Sus scrofa: one gene and its partners. The protein of the gene in region 2 purifies or fractionates together with the protein of the main gene of each other region. This does not show direct contact. Links are inferred from orthologs where the notes say so. Each region holds a gene or a part of one and is shown on either strand. Other genes may lie near its edges.

Region 1 (5,995 bases), on a different chromosome or scaffold from region 2:
GCACACATCAATTCAGTCTTCTAGGTTAAGCTTCTTTCCCCTGTGTCCTTATGGAAACACAAGTTCAGGTGAGAATCCAAATTTATGGCATTTGGGCTTAAAAGAGTTTAAGTCGCCATCCAAATAATAGCAGTTTTTCACTCCCTATTGATGTGTATAAACGAAGTAGATATAATGGAAATCTTATGAAAAACCCTTCAAAAGACTGCCAGCCTCAAGAGAGGCAGCTAATAGAATAACGAACGTCCAGAGGATCCTTTAGAAGGAAAACGGCTGTCAAATAGCACCTTTAGCACATGGGTACTTCTGGAGAAAAATGCTTTTGCAACAGTAGTGCTTTGGAATTTAAGCCTCCACGAGTGAACTTTAGTTTGGTCACAATAACTCTGATTAATTTACCCAGAACTTACTATCCTTAAAAGAAAAGAAAAAAATCCTCAAGTTGCTATTTCTGGTTAGTGGAAAAGTTCACTATGGTACTTTAAGTTAAAACACTAAGAAAAGTGGAATTAGCACATTGGATTGGACAAAGCACTAAATGTCTCTTAAGTAAGCAACATTAAGTGCGTACCTTTAAACGCAGAAAAAAACCATCCATTTCCTAAATCAATGGAGGTCAATATAATGGGTCAATATGAGGTTATTTATTTTCAAGAATAAATAGCAACATTTATCGCATCTCCTAAAATAATGTTAAACCTCCAGTCTGTCTCCCAGCGAAGGACAGGACAGATTTGCCAAAGAAAGAGGATCACCTCCAGTTTGGCCACCCAGCCAGGGGTTAGAAATCTGCCCTTGCTCAGTGTCCCCAGATCCACATATTCTCTACAAATAGAGTCAATGTTATCAGAAACAGTTTGGAAGAACTGCAAAAAAGGAGAGCTGTTCTAGATTTGTGTTTGTTATTAATTCTAGGTACCAGTCTTTTCAATGAGTAACTTCCCTTCACATGCCCCAAGTAAGTAAAATGCCTAGAAGGCAGGTCTTGAGTTCTTCATCTTGCAGCACTAAGATAGAGAAATCTGGTTGAGAGACTTAGGTGAGAACAGAGGGGAGGAAGGGACGTAGACGCAGAGGAGTTATCTGTGCAACAGATAATCGGCTCCAAATAATTTTCTTTCCAAAGTGCTCTATCTGCCCGAGATTATCTTTGAAACGTTGTTCTGCTGAGTACATTAACCAAGACCTGGTGAGGTGAACGAGCAACTTCAGATGGTTATATGCCAGGCTAAATATACACTGGCTGACATGTCTTTTTCACTTCTCTTTCACTCGAAAATAACTTTAAAATATTTGTGAACGGTAGTGCCTTTAGTCCTCGCTATAGAAACAACTCGATGCTTTTCCGTGCCAGGAGAAACCTCAAAAATGCGCCATGTCTAACTTTCAAAAGCAAAACACAGTCATTTACGCAAGCAAACCAGAAGTAAATGTAGTTTACCACACCCCCTTCTAACAAATTACAAGACTTGGTTACCTGAAAAGACTGTTGATTAACCAGACTATAAACCAGGATGAAACCTTGGCCGTTTTTGATGTAGAGATCTCTCATGGAGGCAAACTGCTCAGTTCCTGCGGTGTCCAGAATTTCCAGCACGGAGGGGGAAGAGTCCACTTCGATCTCTTTGCGGTAGAAATCTTCAATGGTGGGGTCATATTTCTCAATGAAAGTCCCGGTGACAAACTGCACAGTAAGGGCAGATTTGCCAACCCCTCCGCTCCCTAACACCACTACCTTGTACTCCCGCATGAGTCTCTCCTTCACCAACTCCTACCAGAGGGAGGGAAAAATAACACCCCGCTCGCGGCGGCGCGGCTCGGGGAGGCGGAAGGTGGGCGGAAATCTGCGAACCCGGGAGGAGAGCGCAGAGCAGCCGAGGGCCCGACGGGGGAAGAAGAGGAAGTTAAAGGAGGGGGAGGGGAAAGAGCGAAGTGTCGGGGTGGGTGGGGATGGGATGGTAATGCCCTTCCTATAGGAACCGGAGCCCAGGCAGGGGGCGTGGGGAGAAGGCGAGCCCCGAAAAGCTGGGAGGCTGGGGAGGCGACACGCGCCCCCCGCCCCGGGAGGGAAGGGGTGGGCGCCGCAGGACAGACGGGGGGCCCCCCGCGGAAGGCGGGCGTCCGAGGAGCCCGCGGCCCGGGGCTGCCCCGCGCCCCTCCCCCGCCCTTCACACAAAGGGGCCCAGGGACCCCGCTTCCTGCTCGCGCCGCCGAGCCAGCCCAGGCCTGTGGGCTCCGCTCCAGTCGCTGCCGCCCGGGCGGGTCTCTGGGCCGCGGCTCCCGCGGGCGTCGTCCGGCCTGTGATGGGGGGGTGGGGGGCGGAGAGGGCGCGCGTTACCCGCCGGACCCCCGCCCGCCCCCGTCGGGCAGCCCGGGCGGCCGCCTCCCCCGGCTCCCACCCGGGCCCGGCCGCCCCCGCTTACCCTGCCGTCCGCACCCGCCCGGCCGCCCGGGAGGCTGTGTCACGCCAAGGCCATGGCCACTGGCCGGCTCCTCGGTCTCACCGCCGCCCCTGCGCTGCGGCTCGCGGAGGGGAAAGGGGCGGGGGCCGTCCGGCGGCGGCGGCGGCAGCGGCGGCGGCCGCTGGGACTCCAGGCGAACCCACCTCTTTTTTTTTTTTTTTTTTTTCTCACCCTCCCCCCACCCCCCCACCCCCAGCACACACCCGGAAGGGTTTCCCTGACACACTGGTGGAGGTGCCCCAGTTCCCTGAGACGGGACGGGATCACTTCCGGTGGGGAAAGTCCCACCTCTCCCGGGGCGAGCCGGGTGGCGCTGGGGCCGCGCCCTGCTGAGCGAGTCGGCCCAGGACGGTTTCGGGTCGGGGCTACGGCCTTGGCAAAGGGCCTGTCCGAGAACCTCCGGCGCCCTTCCTTTCTCTGCCTGCCCGCAACTGCTGTTCCTGCTGCTGCTGCTGCTGCTGCTGCTGCCGCTGCTGCTGCGGACAGTCCCACCCCCGAGCCCGCGGAAGCCCCTAGGAGTCTCAGCAGCCCCCGGCCCGGCCTGAGGACTTGATCCGCTGGTTGGCGGAGCTAAAGATCCGCACAACGCCTATCATCCCTGGACCAGAAGTCGCAGGGAAAATAAAACGGCCGAGAAAGTTGATGCTCTTTGCTGGTATTTTCATGCACTTGCTATTTTTCTAAGAAACGCGTGCACATTAGCCTTCGACTTCACGAATAGCTCGGATTTCATATGTGGTGTGTTTTATTTAGCTGTGCCTGACAGTTAACGCACACACACTCGGTACTTTTATCATCCGGTAAATCTGCCTTGACTCCACCAGCAAATGCCGAAGCCACTCCTTTCTTTCTTATCGCCAGGCTCGAAAACCAAAGGGATTAGGAGTAGCCTTTATGGGACTCTAACTCAGCTTTGTCCCTTTTGGAGTCCCCAGGCTTCGCAGCGGGGAAGAGTTGATTGGAAACTGTTTAGGCCTGCACGCTAACTTCTTTGAATCTTTTCATTATCTGCAGGCACAGCAATTTGCATGGCTGGCTCTTCCAAGTTAAAGTTTGTTTTAAGTCTTTGAAATTCAAAAGCAGAGGACTTAGTGCTAACCACTAAGTTTCTATTTTTAGATAAAATTGTTACTTTTTACATATCTTACCCTCTGCTAACTTTCTATTTGTAAACTTTGTGTCCGATCCACAGAGCCCCAGGGTCAGAAGCCTAGGTTATATTTTAGGAATGTCACTCCTTTTCTGATTCTAGCATGCACCCCGACGCCTGAAAGTCAGTGACCAGTCGAGTTAAAGCGACCCCAAATCCCTTACGTGGAAGCCTTAATGGCCTGACTGTATCAAAAGGGATTTGTTACCAAACCCAAATTGTGTAACATTAGAAAACAGGCAAATTACAGTCGTGTGAAATCCCACTGTCTCTCCCTGGGTGCTCCCCAATGTCACTTACAGTATCCAAGGGACAGTTACGTTCACTTTCTCCTCAGCCTAGGGCTGGTGCAATCTGTCCAGCGAAGTTCCCAGCTCTGGCTCCAGCTGGCCCGCGTCCCGCCTGATATCTGAGGCACTGCCCTCTGCTGGAAGAGGTTTGGTCTATGAATTATGAGTCTTCCCCATAGGTCACTGCTCCTTCCACACGTGCTGTTGCCGGATTTGGAGCTCTGCTGCCCATCTCCCTGTCTAGCTGTCTCCAGACTGTCTGGGGGGGGGGGGGATGGGGGGGGGGAAATCCATAGCCCTGTACCAGCCCTGCTTGGAACTGAGTCTGGAAATTCCTCCTCTGATCCAGCAATTAGTGTTGGGCAATTGTGGCAAGTCTGTGCTCTGTCACTAAACTGTCAAAACAGGCTGCTCTTCTTTTTGAGGTGGTCCCACTTGTTGGCAACTCTAATATCTCTGAATGTGTTGGCCAAACTATTTTGGAGAGAATTCTTTGTTTCTCCACACAGTGAAACATACTCCTTACCGAAGTACAGAGTCCTACTGGGACACTCTTATTGGCTACAGAATTGGCAAATGTCACACTCATTCTGATGACCCTTCTAAACTTTCTTAGAAAGTGTATTCATTACAGCAGCATTTTAGGAAAGCACACACTTGGAAGTAACTTAAGTCTCCTTCAACAGATGATTTAAAAAAGTAATGTGTGTACACACACACACGGAAACACTTGCAAGTAACCTAAATGTCCTTTGATAGACGATGTAAAAAATAATGTACACACACACACTTGGAAACACTCGAAAGTCACCTAAACATCCTTCACTAGATGATTTAAAAAATCATGCACGCGCACACACACACACTCACAAAATAGGAGACCATGCAGCTATTTAAAAGAGAAAAAGTAGATTTGTAAGTGCTGTTATGAAAAGACGGTCAAGGTATATTGTGAGGATGAAAAAAGTTAGATGCTGAGCAAAGAGATAGTTGCTCCCATTTATGTAAAATATGTGAGTGTGTGCAATATGTAATTACATAGCCATTAAAATCTGAAACAAAGGCATTAATTATTGGTGAGGGGTATTCTGAAAGGACTTTGATTTCTCCATATCATTTTAATTTCTAAGCCATGATCAGGTATTACTGGGGAAAAGAGGAATAAATATAATTTTATAATATTTTTAGAGAAGAAATATAAAATGTTGCTCATCGTTTCCTCCACCCCCCCCCAATATCCTGACTGTCTGGGGTCAGTGGGCAGGTCTGCCCAATTTAAACTCCCTCCTCCTGCCCATCCTGTCCTCCCAAACATCTCTATACTTAGAAAAGTATTTTCACATACATTATCTCATTAGACTCCAGTTGTTCACCCGTTTACTTTTATTAGGCAATGAGAGTATAAACACCAATTAGAAGAGGACAGCCCAGCAGTTGAGAGCCATGGGCCCCGAAGCAAGGCAGACAGGCCTTTCAAGGGCAACTCCTCCACCTCCTAGCTGTGGGACCTCGAGCAAGTGATTTCACTCCTCTGAACCTCAAACTCCTCACCTGGAAAATGGAGCTAATCATTTACCGTGGGAATGTAATGAATTATTACATGTAAAATGCTTAGCACAGTCCCTTGCTCATTATGAACCATCGAGAAATGCTAGCTATTTGGTTTTTATTTTAAAGATTTAACAAAGGTTTTTTTTTTTTTAAGAACAGCAAACACGGAGGAAAAAAAAAACAGAGCTTTAAAAGCCCAAGTATCTCCAAACAGCACAAAAATAACTCAGTTATTCTTTCCAAAGGTGTTTATTGTTAAAGTCTTCTTGTGTTTCCTTTCCCAGAAAAAAATACTTATATGCTGGCATATGAAGCCATCTTCTATATGTATTTTAAAAATTAATACAAAATTGATCTTACTATACACAGCATTCTGCACCTTGCTTTTTTCCGCTTATGAAATTTTTTTACATTTATGTTAAAATCCTTCTCATAAATATTGCTGAATTGTCCTTTGAAAAGATCACACCAATTCACATTCCCTACCAAGGCAGTATAGCCAACACAGACAAGTGTTGTTTCCTTACAACCTCACCCCAGGC
Region 2 (6,051 bases):
AATACTATTCCCTCCCTCCACTCAAATATTCAGTAAGTTTGTAAAGTTTTTTGACTATTTTTTCCATGCAAGTATTTTTTAAAAAACTTTACAAAGCCACCAAATATTGGGGAAAAAAATTTCACCTACCTTATCTTTTAGACTGGCCCCCTCTGTTCCAGTACTCCTGTATGCTGATATAACTAGCACAGTGCATGCTGGAACTTCCAGCAGACCATTAACTCCAGTTAGACCAGCTGCTTAGTGGGACCTGAAAAGATGAAAAACTTAAAAATCTCCTTATAAGTTTTTAGCAAAGCCCCCAATTCATCATACTTTAGAATTTGTAACAAAGCTTATTTCTATGATATACACCAAAGCAGGACATTTTTACATTGGTATTTTGGATGCAATGAATTAAAGGAACATTACCCCAAATATCTCCAGCAAAAGAACCATCTTCTTTTTGTAGACTCTGAACATATTCCACAACTTTATTTACATCAATAACATTAATACTATCATAAAGAGTAAGGATCTGTAATAAAAACAAACCAAAGTAAATACACCTCTTCAACACTGCTAAGTTTGTTCTAATGTTCTTCCTCAACTACCTTAAGTTGTTAAGCATGTCCCTAAGCATTGTGAACTCTTTTCAAACATGCACTTATCTTCTACTATGCAATAAAATTACAGGTATTATCAATACAACCCTTTAACCACAAAGTATTATTTTTTACTTACAAACTGTCAACTCAGCACTCCAAGATTCATATAAACTAATGTATACAGACTTTAAATCTTTGTGATCTTCACTAATACCACAATTTAAACTTCATGGAAAAGAGCACAGTGGTGAAATGGCAGAGTACATGCAGGGAACCACAGGCATCTTGTATTGCCAGAAATAAAGCAAGATGAGAATAGCAAGGGAGGAAATAGCCAGCCTTGGAGGGAATCAAATGCCATGCAGGAAGGTTTTGCAACATAAGAAATAGCTGAATGAAGGAGGCTTCTACACATATGGTAAACGGGCTTTGGCCAATTTATATAATCCGTTATGTTATTCTCTTTGAATATGTTCCACATGAAATTCTGTAGAAAATACTACTTGCTGGAGTTCCTGTTGTGGCACAGCAGAAAAGAATCTGACTAGGAACCATGGTTTCAGATTCAATCCCTGGCCTCGCTCAGTGGGTTAAGGATCGGGTGTTGCCGTGGGCTGTGGTATAGGTGGCAGATGTCACTCAGATCCTAAGTTGCTGTACCTGTGCCGTAGACTGAAAGCTGTAGCTCTAATTTGACCCCTAGCCTGGGAAGCTCCACATGCTGTGGGTGTAACCCTATAAAGACCAAAAAAAAAAAAAAGAAAATACTACTTTCTTTGAGAAATGCTAGTTTCTATTATAAGACTTAGGTTATATCTTTCAGGATAGGATACAATATGCTAATAAACCAGAGTTCCATGGCTTAAACAAAGATTTTTCTTGCTTAAAACAAAAACACGTCCACTGACGATTTCTCAAATATTTACATATACTGAAAATAAATACTTTACCAAGGTCTCAGTGTAATTTTAGAGTTACATCAACTTCGGGTTCAGCTAATACATGCCATCACATCATTGACCTTGTAGAATAGATGTCATATGAAAAGATACTGGTTTCTCTCACCTTCCTAATACCTAGTTTCAATTTCCCCACTCTCAGGTAAGAGAATAAACTATCATGGCTGCTTAGTTTTTAGTATTTACCTGGACAGCACTAAGAGTATATAAAAGATGCGGATCATGTCCAATGCTAGCACTTATTCCACCACACTCGTGTTGACACGACTTAATAAATGCCAAAATTTCTTCTCTATTCATACGGTGTAGTTGTCCCATGAGATCCATTACGGTCAGACCCCAATAGATTCCACTCATTCTCAGATATTCAGACATACAGTATTCCTAAAATATAGAATTACTTTACTGTGTTAGTTTGAATTGATGCCAGCTTAGATACTGAACACACAAAGCCCTACAGCCACTGTTACACCGGTAAAATATCTACTTCCAATTAAGTTGTTCATTAATTTTTTCTAAGACTGTCCCAGAGAGGAAAACTTGGAAAGCCATTCTTCAGGGCTGAACTTTTTCAAGGTCTCAGAGTAATTCTAGAGCTTTAGTGTTACTACACATCACTGTAAACTCAGGTAATACATGCCAACACATCATTGACCTTGAAAATATTGTCTAAACTACAAAAATAGTAATCTAGTCCGTACTTCATAATTCATACAGATCTGGGCCGAATGGGAATCTACTTTGCCTACCAAAGTAAGAAACATGGTTAATTCCCATGGTCCCTCAACAGATATCCAAAGGTGCATTCACTATACTCAAGGATACAGCTTCAGGCTTTGGCACGCAGGAGTTAGATACCAACATGGTCCATACTGATCTATTTACAGAATGGTCTACATCTTTAAGAGTATAAACTTTTCAACATAAAAGCATACATACGTAATCATCTTTCTTTGAGCCATAGGATGCAATATAATCTGCATGCTTCTCCAGGAATAGGGTGTCAGGTGCATCTGACTTGATAATGACATCCTTCTGCGGTGTACCCTTCCACAATAAATTGATTTCATAAGTTATCTCTTAATATTTGACCCCAGAGCATGTGTTCAATATACATCTGAACTTTTTATTTCGTGTTGCCAAATGAAAACTTTCAATTTAAAATTATCTGGCCAAGAAAAACCAAGGCACTAAAGTCCTTCATAAAGATCCAAGTATTTTTCAGGTCTCAGAGTAATTCTAGAGCTAAAGTAGTACTAATCAACTTTAGATTCAGAATACATGCCAGCTCATCATCGACCCAAAAATACTACCTTCATCTGTCTTTATCTTTCACACAGAACACCAAAATAAAATAAAAATCTATTTATTCCATAATTTGAGTTAAGTGCTTTAATGAAGTTTAACTCTAGAAATTGTATAAATTCTGGGAACTTCGAAGCACCTTCCATATACCTCAAAGGTTATTTATCAAGGAAGCAGTCCCTTTAGACTCACCTTCTCCAGCTTTAGCCTGTTTCCCCAAATGCAACAAGTCCCCAAGGGACGAGAATGCTGCTCTAGTTATCCACATTTCTGATCTATATCTAAGACTGTACTTTACTGTTTTATTTGAAGTAGGTCACAACAGTTATCAATAATAAAATAGTGAATTTCTCAGAGTTCCCGTTGTGGCTCAGCAGAAAGAATCCAACTAGCATCCATGAGGATGTGGGTTCGATCTCTGGCCTTCCTCATTGGGTTAGGGATCAGGCACTGCTCCGAGTTGTGTAGGTCGCAGATTAGGCCTGGATCCCACATTGCTGTGGCTGTATCATAAGCCAGCAGCTACAGTTCTGATTGGACCCCTAGCCTGGTAACTTTCCTATGCCATGGATGCAGCCCTAAAAAGAAAACAAAACAAAACAAAAAAATAATAGTCAATTTCTTGTCTAGCCCATTGCCCATTAAAATTTACTAGGTCAACAAGATCGTACCGCTAATCATTCTAAAGATCTTAAATAATTCTTTTTTAATTTTATTACTCCATTTATTACATTGGATAATAATTCTAACGCATACATATATATATATATATATATATGCTTCAACCTACATATAGAAGGAAAAAGGTACTACCGACTTGCCCAGTTTTTAGGAGGAAATTAAGAAATCCGGTTGTTGAACCAGGAGGCCCGACCGATAGCAGGAAGTCTGAATAAAATCAGAGGCGGCAACGACGCATGCAAGGCCTGCAGAAAACGCTGAATAATACTTCACCCTCTCTCCCGCTCTCAAAAATACTCCCAAGACCTCTATCTTAACGCGACCATTCTCCAATATTTAGTAAACAACCCACCGGTGACTAAAATGCTTAATATCACCCTTCCCAGGCTCCTCCCGAGCCATCCGGACAGCAATGCAATACACGTCCACACTCACCATGTCTGACAGCGAAAAGAGAACTTGGCTCTTTCGTGGGCGGATTTAGGCAGCACGCGCCTGCCCAGAAGCGTCTCTCAGGTCCCCTCCGCGCCCAGACTTAGGTGACCACATTCCCGCCTGAAGGAAAGAGGGATCCCGAGGCTGCTCTAGGACCCCATCGGCTGCTCATGGCTGTCCTCGCTGCCTGTGCTTAAAGTCTCTAAGCCCGTTTTCTTGTCCCTTAAACACCGCCGTTTTATCTAAAACTGTTTTAAGTAATGTTTAAATATCTGCATAACTTTTAAGAAATCGTTTATTGTTGAGGATCTTTGAAATGCCTGGTAATAAATAGAGTTGCACCGTAATTACGTGTGCAATAAATATTCACATTCAGCTCTTATTAGCTAACTCTCACCTACTCCCTCCTCTTTCAGGAAGTTCTAATATTTGCAATATTTGGAGATTGTTTTTGAAAAGGAAACACCGTTATGCTTCTTATAAGCTTTCCATCGAATTCAGCTTTGCTAGGTGTGTTAATGCAGCTATTTGTAACTGTGCTTTCTTAGGACTTTAATCCTTAAAAGTATTTTGAGCACCTACCAGAAAATACTGGCACCTACTCTTAAATTTTTTTTTTTTTCAGGAGTTCCCATCATGGCGAAGCAGAAACAAACCCAACTAGGAACCACGAGGTTGTGGATTATATGCCTGGCTTCGCTCAGTGGGTTAAGGATCCAGCGTTGCCTCCACTGGAGGTGTGGTGTAGGTCGCAGACCTTGCTCCGCTGGGATCTGGCTTGCCTGTGGCGTAGGCTGGCAGCTATGGCTCCAATTAGACCCCTAACGTGGGAACGTCCATATGCCAAGGGTGTGGCCCTCAAAAGACGAAAAAAAAAAACCTGAAAAGTAAGAATTTGGGGAAGAATTCCTTACGCAGAGATATGTGTGAGCTATCAATAACTGAGAAAATATTGAATCCACTATGATGATAGATTTCATTATTTCTCTCTTAGTTCAATTGCTATCCCCAGGTATAGTTTGAGGCTAGGATAACATGTATTACTAAATGCATGTTAAGTTTAGAACTATCTATTTCTGGTGAGTCAAGCCACTTATCATTAAGTGATGATGTTTCTAGCCCTAATAATTTTTATCTTAAAAATTATTCCTTGGGAGTTCCCGTCATGGCTCAGTGGAACCATGAAGTTGTGGGTTTGATCCCTGGCCTCGCTCAGTGGGTTGAGGATCCGGCATTGCCGTGAGCTGTGGTGTAGACTGCAGACATGGCTCAGATCTTGCACTGCTGTGGCTCTGGCCTAGGCCTGAAGCTACAGCTTGGATTCGACCCCTAGCCTAGGAACCTCCATATGCTGTCAGTGTGGCCCCAGAAAAGACCCCTCCCCCCAGAAAAATTCTTCTTTGGAGTTCCTGTCGTGGCTCAGTGGTTAACAAACCTGTCTACTATCTGTGGGTTCACAGGTTTGATCCCTGGCCTTGCTCAGTGTGTTAAGGATCCTGCATTGCTGTGAGCTGTGGTGTAGGTCACAGATGTGGCTTGGATCTGACATTGCTGTGGCTGTGGTGTAGACCAGCAGTTACACCTCCAATTGGACCCTAGCACCACATGCTGCAGGTGCAACCCTGAATAGACAAAAGACCACAAAAAGTCTTCCTTGAAAGTTCCTTTATGGCACAGCAGGTTAAGGATCTGGCCTTGTCACTGCAGCAGTTTGAGTCCCCGCTCCAGTGTGGGTTTGGTCCCTGGCCCAGAAATTTCTATATGCCATGGGCACAACCAAAAAAAAAAAAAAAAAAGTCTATCTTGTTAAATGGTGCTGCCAAAAAATCAATCACTCAATCTGAGAAAGATATCAATCTGAGAAAGATATGGAATTTTTTATTAGAGTTAAATTTGAGATGTTATAACTTGGGAAGAGCAACTTGGAAATCTCTGAGAGCTGTTCTGCCCACAGTCAAAGCACAGTTAAATGCTGGTTTTCTGTGGGTTTTTTTTTCTTTTTAGGTCCATACCTGTAGAAGGGCCATATGGAAGTTTCCAGGCTAGGGGTCAAATCTGAGCTACCTACACCACAGCTCCTGGCA
Region 3 (6,081 bases), about 49 Mb from region 2:
TAAGACACAAAGACTACAAGGTCATTTCAATACATGCTCCTGTAATTTAGACAACTGTTTAGGGAATAAAGCATAAAATTTTACCTAATCGGAGGTTCCTATTTCCAATAATGAAATAGCAAATTTAAAGGCCAAGGAGAAATTTAATTTAAAATAATTCCAATCACTATGTCCAAACTGAACTATGAAAGAAATCTTATCTTACAAAAGCTTCTTAGAAACCCATCAAGTGTCAGAAACTATGCTAATTACTCTGAAGCAAAGTGCCTTACCCCTTTCTCTTCTTATCTTCTTCTCCCACCTTTTTGTGCTCTATAAATTATCCACAAAATAGTAAGTAACCAATTTGTACTTGCTAAGTCAGAGAGAATATTTCCATGTGATTTAAGAACATCTCATGGAAATTACTTTCAGTTATATTCAAACTAGTAGCCTAGAAACAAATGGCAAATATTGTATTAACTTCCTAGAGAAAACAAAATGAAATTTCGATTTTCTTGAACTAAGTATGCACTAAATTTTGCTTTTTATTTGGTGAAAATACTTTACACATTAAGGGCACAAATGAAAAAAAACTGGTAATCCAAAGGAATTTTAATAGATTGCTAAAATCACTGTATCTCCTACAAGTTTAGAAAGCAAACTCTGACTGCCAAATTTTAAACATATTTATGGTTAAAAGGTACAACTTGTCTGTAGTGAAAAATTAAAACACTACACACTCACTAGAACGTGGATTCCTTCCTTTTCAACTGGTGCTTTATCATATGTAGCATCACAAACTCGAACCAAAGTTGTCACTCCATACTTCTTAAGTTCCTTTAAAGAAAAACAAACATAAGGAAATTTTGTTTTGTTTTGTTTTGTTTTTCAGGGCCACAGGTGAAGCATATGGAAGTTCCCAGGCTAGGGGTCGAATCAGAGCTACAGCTGCCAGTCAACACCACAGCAATACCAGATCCAAGCCACATCTGCAACCTACACCACAGCTGTTGCTGGATCCTTATCCCACTGAGTGAGGCCAGGGATCGAACTTGTATCCTCATGGATACTAGTCGGGTTCATTTCCATGAGCCACAACAGGAACTCCCATGAAACTTTTTAAGAATTGCAATCAAAGCTTTAAAAATATACTCTTGTAAACTGAAGGGAGGTCTGATTCTTAGACAAAGATCAAAATCATTCTCATTGTAACAACATATATAATGGACACTCTTCCAATAACAGTGGAAGAATCATTAGAACCCACCTTTATAAAGGGCAATTTGGTAGCATAACACAAAAACTTTAAAAGCACACACACTTTGACCTAGAAATTCTACTTCTGGGAATTTATACTAGTGAAATAATTAAAGATATATACAAAGATTTAGGTACCAGCATGTTTCAACAGAGGTTGTTTGGATGATAAAAAGCTAGAAACATAAATGGTCCAAAAATAGCTGAATGGTTAAAGAAAGTACAGCATTTCCATACAGAGAACTGTGACAGCTACAAAAAAAATGAGGGGTTGGGAGAAATTTTTTTTTTTTTTTTTTGTCTTTTTTGCCATTTCTTGGGCCGCTCCCGTGGCATATGGAGGTTCCCGGGCTAGGGGTCTAATCGGAGCTGTAGCTGCCAGCCTACACCACAGCCCATGGCAACGCCGGATCCTTAACCCACTGAGCAAGGCCAGGGATTGAGCCCACAACCTCATGGTTCCTAGTCCATGAGGTTAACCATGAGGTTATTCGTTAACCACTGTGCCACGACGGGAACTCCGGGAGAAAAATTTTTTTTCAATACAGTGTGATCCTACCTATCTATCTATATATATCCATATATACAAATAAAAACGTGTAAAAGCCAGGTATTAACAATTAAGTATTTTAAATTGTCTTTTATTTGTACCTTCTGTTATTTTATATACTAAGTAGTTAACCGCTTTAATTTAAAGAAACAAGTAAAAGTAATTCAGAAATTAAGATTAAAAAGTGGTATTATGGAGTTCCTGCTGTGGCACAACATGATCAGCAGCATCTTGGGAGCAGTGGGACACAGGTTTGATTCCCCAGCCCAACACAGTGGATTAAGGATCCAGCATTGCTGCAGCTGTGGCTTAGGTCACAGCTGTGGCTCATATCTGACCCCTGGCCCGGGACCTCCATATGCTACAGGGAGGCCAAAAAAGGGGGGAAAAGTGATATTATATTACAAAGCCAACTAACACAGTTATAGCCAGACGCCTTGCTCCTTTAAATTGTCCTACAGTAATGCCTGATCCAGTAACTACCTAACTTCAAGGGGCCACCAACATCTTTTTATAGTTGCAGGAGTCTATGACCAAGGAATCCACAGGCTGAAAATAGTATCACGTAATTCAGCCAGGCTTAAAGGTGACTGAACAACCTGAGGGCATAAAGGCCTGGAACCACTTGTACACTGTGTACACAAAGTTAAGAAGCTCAGAGAATTAAAAGTATAAATAAGTAGCAACAGTGATATCCTACAAGAAGCGTCATCATTTGGTTACCTAAAGAGACAAGTTTATTTTAATTGCTAAAGGACTTTCCTTTTCACAGAAAGATTTTCTTATAAAGACTTTCTTAGAAACTCAAGTTATTATATATTGAGTAAGGAATTTAAAAAGTGTTTTTAACTACAAATAAAAGCCCATTAAAAGAACTCCACAGTAGCTGTTCACTGAAAGGTTATGGCAGAATTTTTTATGGTAAATATCTGTGATCTTCCGCAAGTCAAAACCTCTTCTGAACTCAGTTTTCTGCCATATGTCAAGTGAGAAGGATAGATTTAGAATCTCTAGGAGTTCATCTAGCTCTCTAAGTCTCCTCCATAAATACATCAACAGAAATCACACTGAGACTGAAAAACTTGAGAATGATTAAAAAGCTAACATTCAAATGTTTAAGTACAAAAATTTCCTTACTACTACCAATAGAAAAAAATTCAAGATCTGACCAAAAAATGCTACCTCTAAGGAATTCCCATTGTGGCGCAGCAGAAATGAATCCAAGACTAGGAACCATGAGGTTGCAGGTTCAATCCCTGGCCTCCCTCAGTGGGTTAAGGATCTGGCGTTGCCATAAGCTATGGTGTAGGTCACAGACACGGCTCAGATTTGGCACTGCTATGGCCGTGGTGTAGGCCAGCAGCTACAGCTCCAATTCAACCCCTAGCCTGGGACCCTCCATATGCCGCGAGTGCAGCACTAAAAAGAAAAGAAAAGAAAAGAAAAAAAAAAAAACAAAAAAAAACACCTACCTCTAATACCTTTCCTTCCCCTAGGTTTCTGAACCCTTGTACATGATGGTTACTACTGCTACGTAATTCTAGGGTAGCTTTTCATCAAAAGTGGTTTTAGAACATGTGAGGTAGAAATAGACTTCAGTGTCAGAGATAGTTCTACCACATACTGCATGCCTTTAGACAAACTGCTAAATCACTGTGACCCTCAGTTTCCTCATTTATAGGATATAAATAATAATAGTACCCATACCTCAACCTCATAGGGTTATTAGGAGTAAATGATATAATGCATAAAACTGCTTATTGTAGTGCTGGTGTTACTAAGCGTTCAATATTAATTATCTTTAATATTAAAGCATAACAAAAGAAATGGTAATAATGTTGAAAGGATATAAGGAAAAAAACACAGTACTAAGTAATCTCTAAGATCTCCCCAATTTCCTTAAACATTCTTTTAAAAATCTGTTGTAACTAATTCAATTCAATTCAAAGATTGATCAAATGACCATCCACACCCTAATCACAGATTTCTTTACAATGGTTTTTAATCTTTAATGGGATTTTACCTATAAATCAATCCAAAAGATAGACCATGCTACAATCTTACCTCTGTGAACTTGTTGAGGGTAGCATTGGTAGGGTTGTGGGTTATCAGAAAACGCATGTTCTCATAGGAGATCTCCACAGGGGCTGGACGGTTCATTATGGCAAATAAAAAGTGTGAGTGTGCGTGTGTGAAAGTGATGGGGAAAATGAAAAAAAAAAAAAAATCAATAAATCTTGAAATGTTTCACAGCAGAAAACATTAAAAAGACCACTAAAATGCCTATTATCAATCAGTGTTCTCTCTATTCAACTTGTTTATTCTTTAAGAAGCTTCTCTCTTCAAGATAAGCAGAAGTATTTAGAATCCACTTGAATCCAAATTCAATCTGGGCCTCGATGTCTGCTGATGGATACCTTCGGACTCCAAAAAAATCCAACTACATACAAAACTTAAGCAGCCTTTACTACATTTAGGCACTAGTGAGACAAGTTAAAAGTGTAGGTCGCTTTCCACTTTTGTTTACTTGATGCTTAATTTTACTGGAGTCATTAAAAGAAATATGCTTGCAATTAAAAAAAAAAAAAAAAAAAAGCCAACTATTTCTGAGGCCAGTCTCGGTGTCCAGAGTCTTCAAGGCAATGTTAATTATGGCACATTGAACCTCCAAGCTCACTTGTCAGCGGAAATGCTGTGCTGAGCCTGGCAGAAGTCTGCCCTCACGCTCAGAATCGCCATAAATGTGCAACGTATATTCCAACGAAAAACCTGGAGGAGAAAAGCATAAGTTAAATGAACTGGAGGTTGACAGCATAGTAAACACAATACCCAAAGTCAAGAATACATTCTTTATGAGCCCAAAGACATCTGACATAGCACCAACTCTAAACTACTGACATCTATCGAGAATAGGATAAAAGCATACACCAAGAGTTTTAAAATAGATTCAAAAGTAAAGTATGTCTTTTTTCAAAATGAGGTTCAATAAAGTTTCCATACTAATAAGATTGTTTCTATCATTTTAAAATGACTGAATTTCTAAATTCATTTTATATCTTTTTTTTTTTTTTTTTTGGCCGCACTTGCAGTATATGGAAGTTCTTGAGTCAGGTATTGAACCTGCGCCACAATATCGACCTGAGCTGCCATAGTGACAACATGGAATCCTTAACAACCACTGTGCCACAAGGGAACTCCCATTTTAAGTCATTTTTAAATGATTAAAAAATACTTCGAGAAGGCTTTCCCCATGGACTCTTTTTCATAAAGTTCACAGTGATCTTATTTTTCTATTTTGATGGTTAAGTACTTTGCATAAAATCATACCCATCTGTAAATGGCTGAAAGATCATTTACCAAAATTCTCCTTTGAGGATTTAATTCTTTCTATTCAAAATATATGCATTGGCCCCAATTATTACATCAGTTCATAAAGTACTTTCAAAAAGTTGTCTTTTTTCCTCACAATTCTGAGCAGTTTTTACTACCTATGAGGAATGAGAAAAGTGATTTATCTAAGGTAAGTAAGTTAGTTGAGCCCAAATTCAAACCCAAGTCTTCTGTTAGTCCTGCATTTTTTCCAAGGTACCAAAATGCCAGCTGACTCAATTAATGTATGATTCCCATTCTCTCATTTCTCGTCAGGTTTACCTTCTTACCATTTCTCACATCACTACCTCAAAGAGTCCAAAAGCATTTAAAGGTCAATGATACACACAGCATCCTCCTGTCCAAATATTAATCCCTACCAAAAACAAGGCAAGAAACTGAAGTGGCAGAAATTTTAATATTATTTTAGGCCTGTATAGCTGGCTCAGGCAGTGTCAACATAATCATATATTCCTCTGAAAACAGGAACAAGGTCTCACTTCTTTTACCTGCCTCTTTGAACTAAGCCATCAATAAATGCTCATTTAAGAACTCTAAAAAAGATGACTGTGACCAAATTGATGAAAGACAGTAACTACAGAAGCACTTGCAAGAAAAAAAAACTGAAACAGATAGGAGTTCCCATCGTGGCTCAGCAGTTAACAAACCCAACTAGTATCCATGAGGATGCGGGTTCCATTCCTGGCCTCGATCAGTGGGTCAGGGATCCAGAGTTGCCATGAGCTGTGGTGTAGGTCACAGATGTGGTTCGGATCTGGCATTGCTGTGGCTGTGGTGTAGGCCAGCAGCTACAGCTCTGATTGGACCCCTAGCCTAGGAACCTCCATATGCTGTGGGTATGGCCCTAAAAAGACAAAAAAAAAAAAAAAAACTGAAACAGATAAAGACAAATCTAAGCCTCA

What was found.
Region 1: the proteins of RABGGTB (region 2) and RAP2C purify together in Homo sapiens (co-immunoprecipitation; 3 studies listed by BioGRID and IntAct, counting the BioPlex papers as one, with this or other methods). This does not show direct contact. The link is inferred for Sus scrofa from reciprocal best matches to the Homo sapiens genes RABGGTB and RAP2C.
Region 3: the proteins of RABGGTB (region 2) and PTP4A2 purify together in Homo sapiens (affinity purification with mass spectrometry; 3 studies listed by BioGRID and IntAct, counting the BioPlex papers as one, with this or other methods). This does not show direct contact. The link is inferred for Sus scrofa from reciprocal best matches to the Homo sapiens genes RABGGTB and PTP4A2.

Annotation. Positions count from the first base shown.
Region 1 is NC_010461.5:108,344,407-108,350,401, forward strand, and holds the start of RAP2C (ras-related protein Rap-2c), read right to left. Parts: upstream 4,027-5,995; 5' UTR 3,913-4,026; intron 2,513-3,912; exon of another isoform or gene 2,424-2,512; intron 2,299-2,423; 5' UTR 1,751-2,298; coding exon 1,478-1,750; intron 1-1,477. UniProt on the Homo sapiens protein: Small GTP-binding protein which cycles between a GDP-bound inactive and a GTP-bound active form. May play a role in cytoskeletal rearrangements and regulate cell spreading through activation of the effector TNIK.
Region 2 is NC_010448.4:137,530,145-137,536,195, forward strand, and holds the start of RABGGTB (geranylgeranyl transferase type-2 subunit beta), read right to left. Parts: upstream 3,989-6,051; 5' UTR 3,971-3,988; coding exon 3,968-3,970; intron 3,966-3,967; exon of another isoform or gene 3,885-3,965; intron 2,594-3,884; coding exon 2,486-2,593; intron 1,931-2,485; coding exon 1,733-1,930; intron 518-1,732; coding exon 412-517; intron 251-411; exon of another isoform or gene 130-250; intron 1-129. UniProt on the Homo sapiens protein: Catalyzes the transfer of a geranylgeranyl moiety from geranylgeranyl diphosphate to both cysteines of Rab proteins with the C-terminal sequence -XXCC, -XCXC and -CCXX, such as RAB1A, RAB3A, RAB5A and RAB7A.
Region 3 is NC_010448.4:88,428,334-88,434,414, forward strand, and holds the start of PTP4A2 (protein tyrosine phosphatase type IVA 2), read right to left. Parts: upstream 3,996-6,081; 5' UTR 3,950-3,995; coding exon 3,854-3,949; intron 820-3,853; coding exon 727-819; intron 1-726.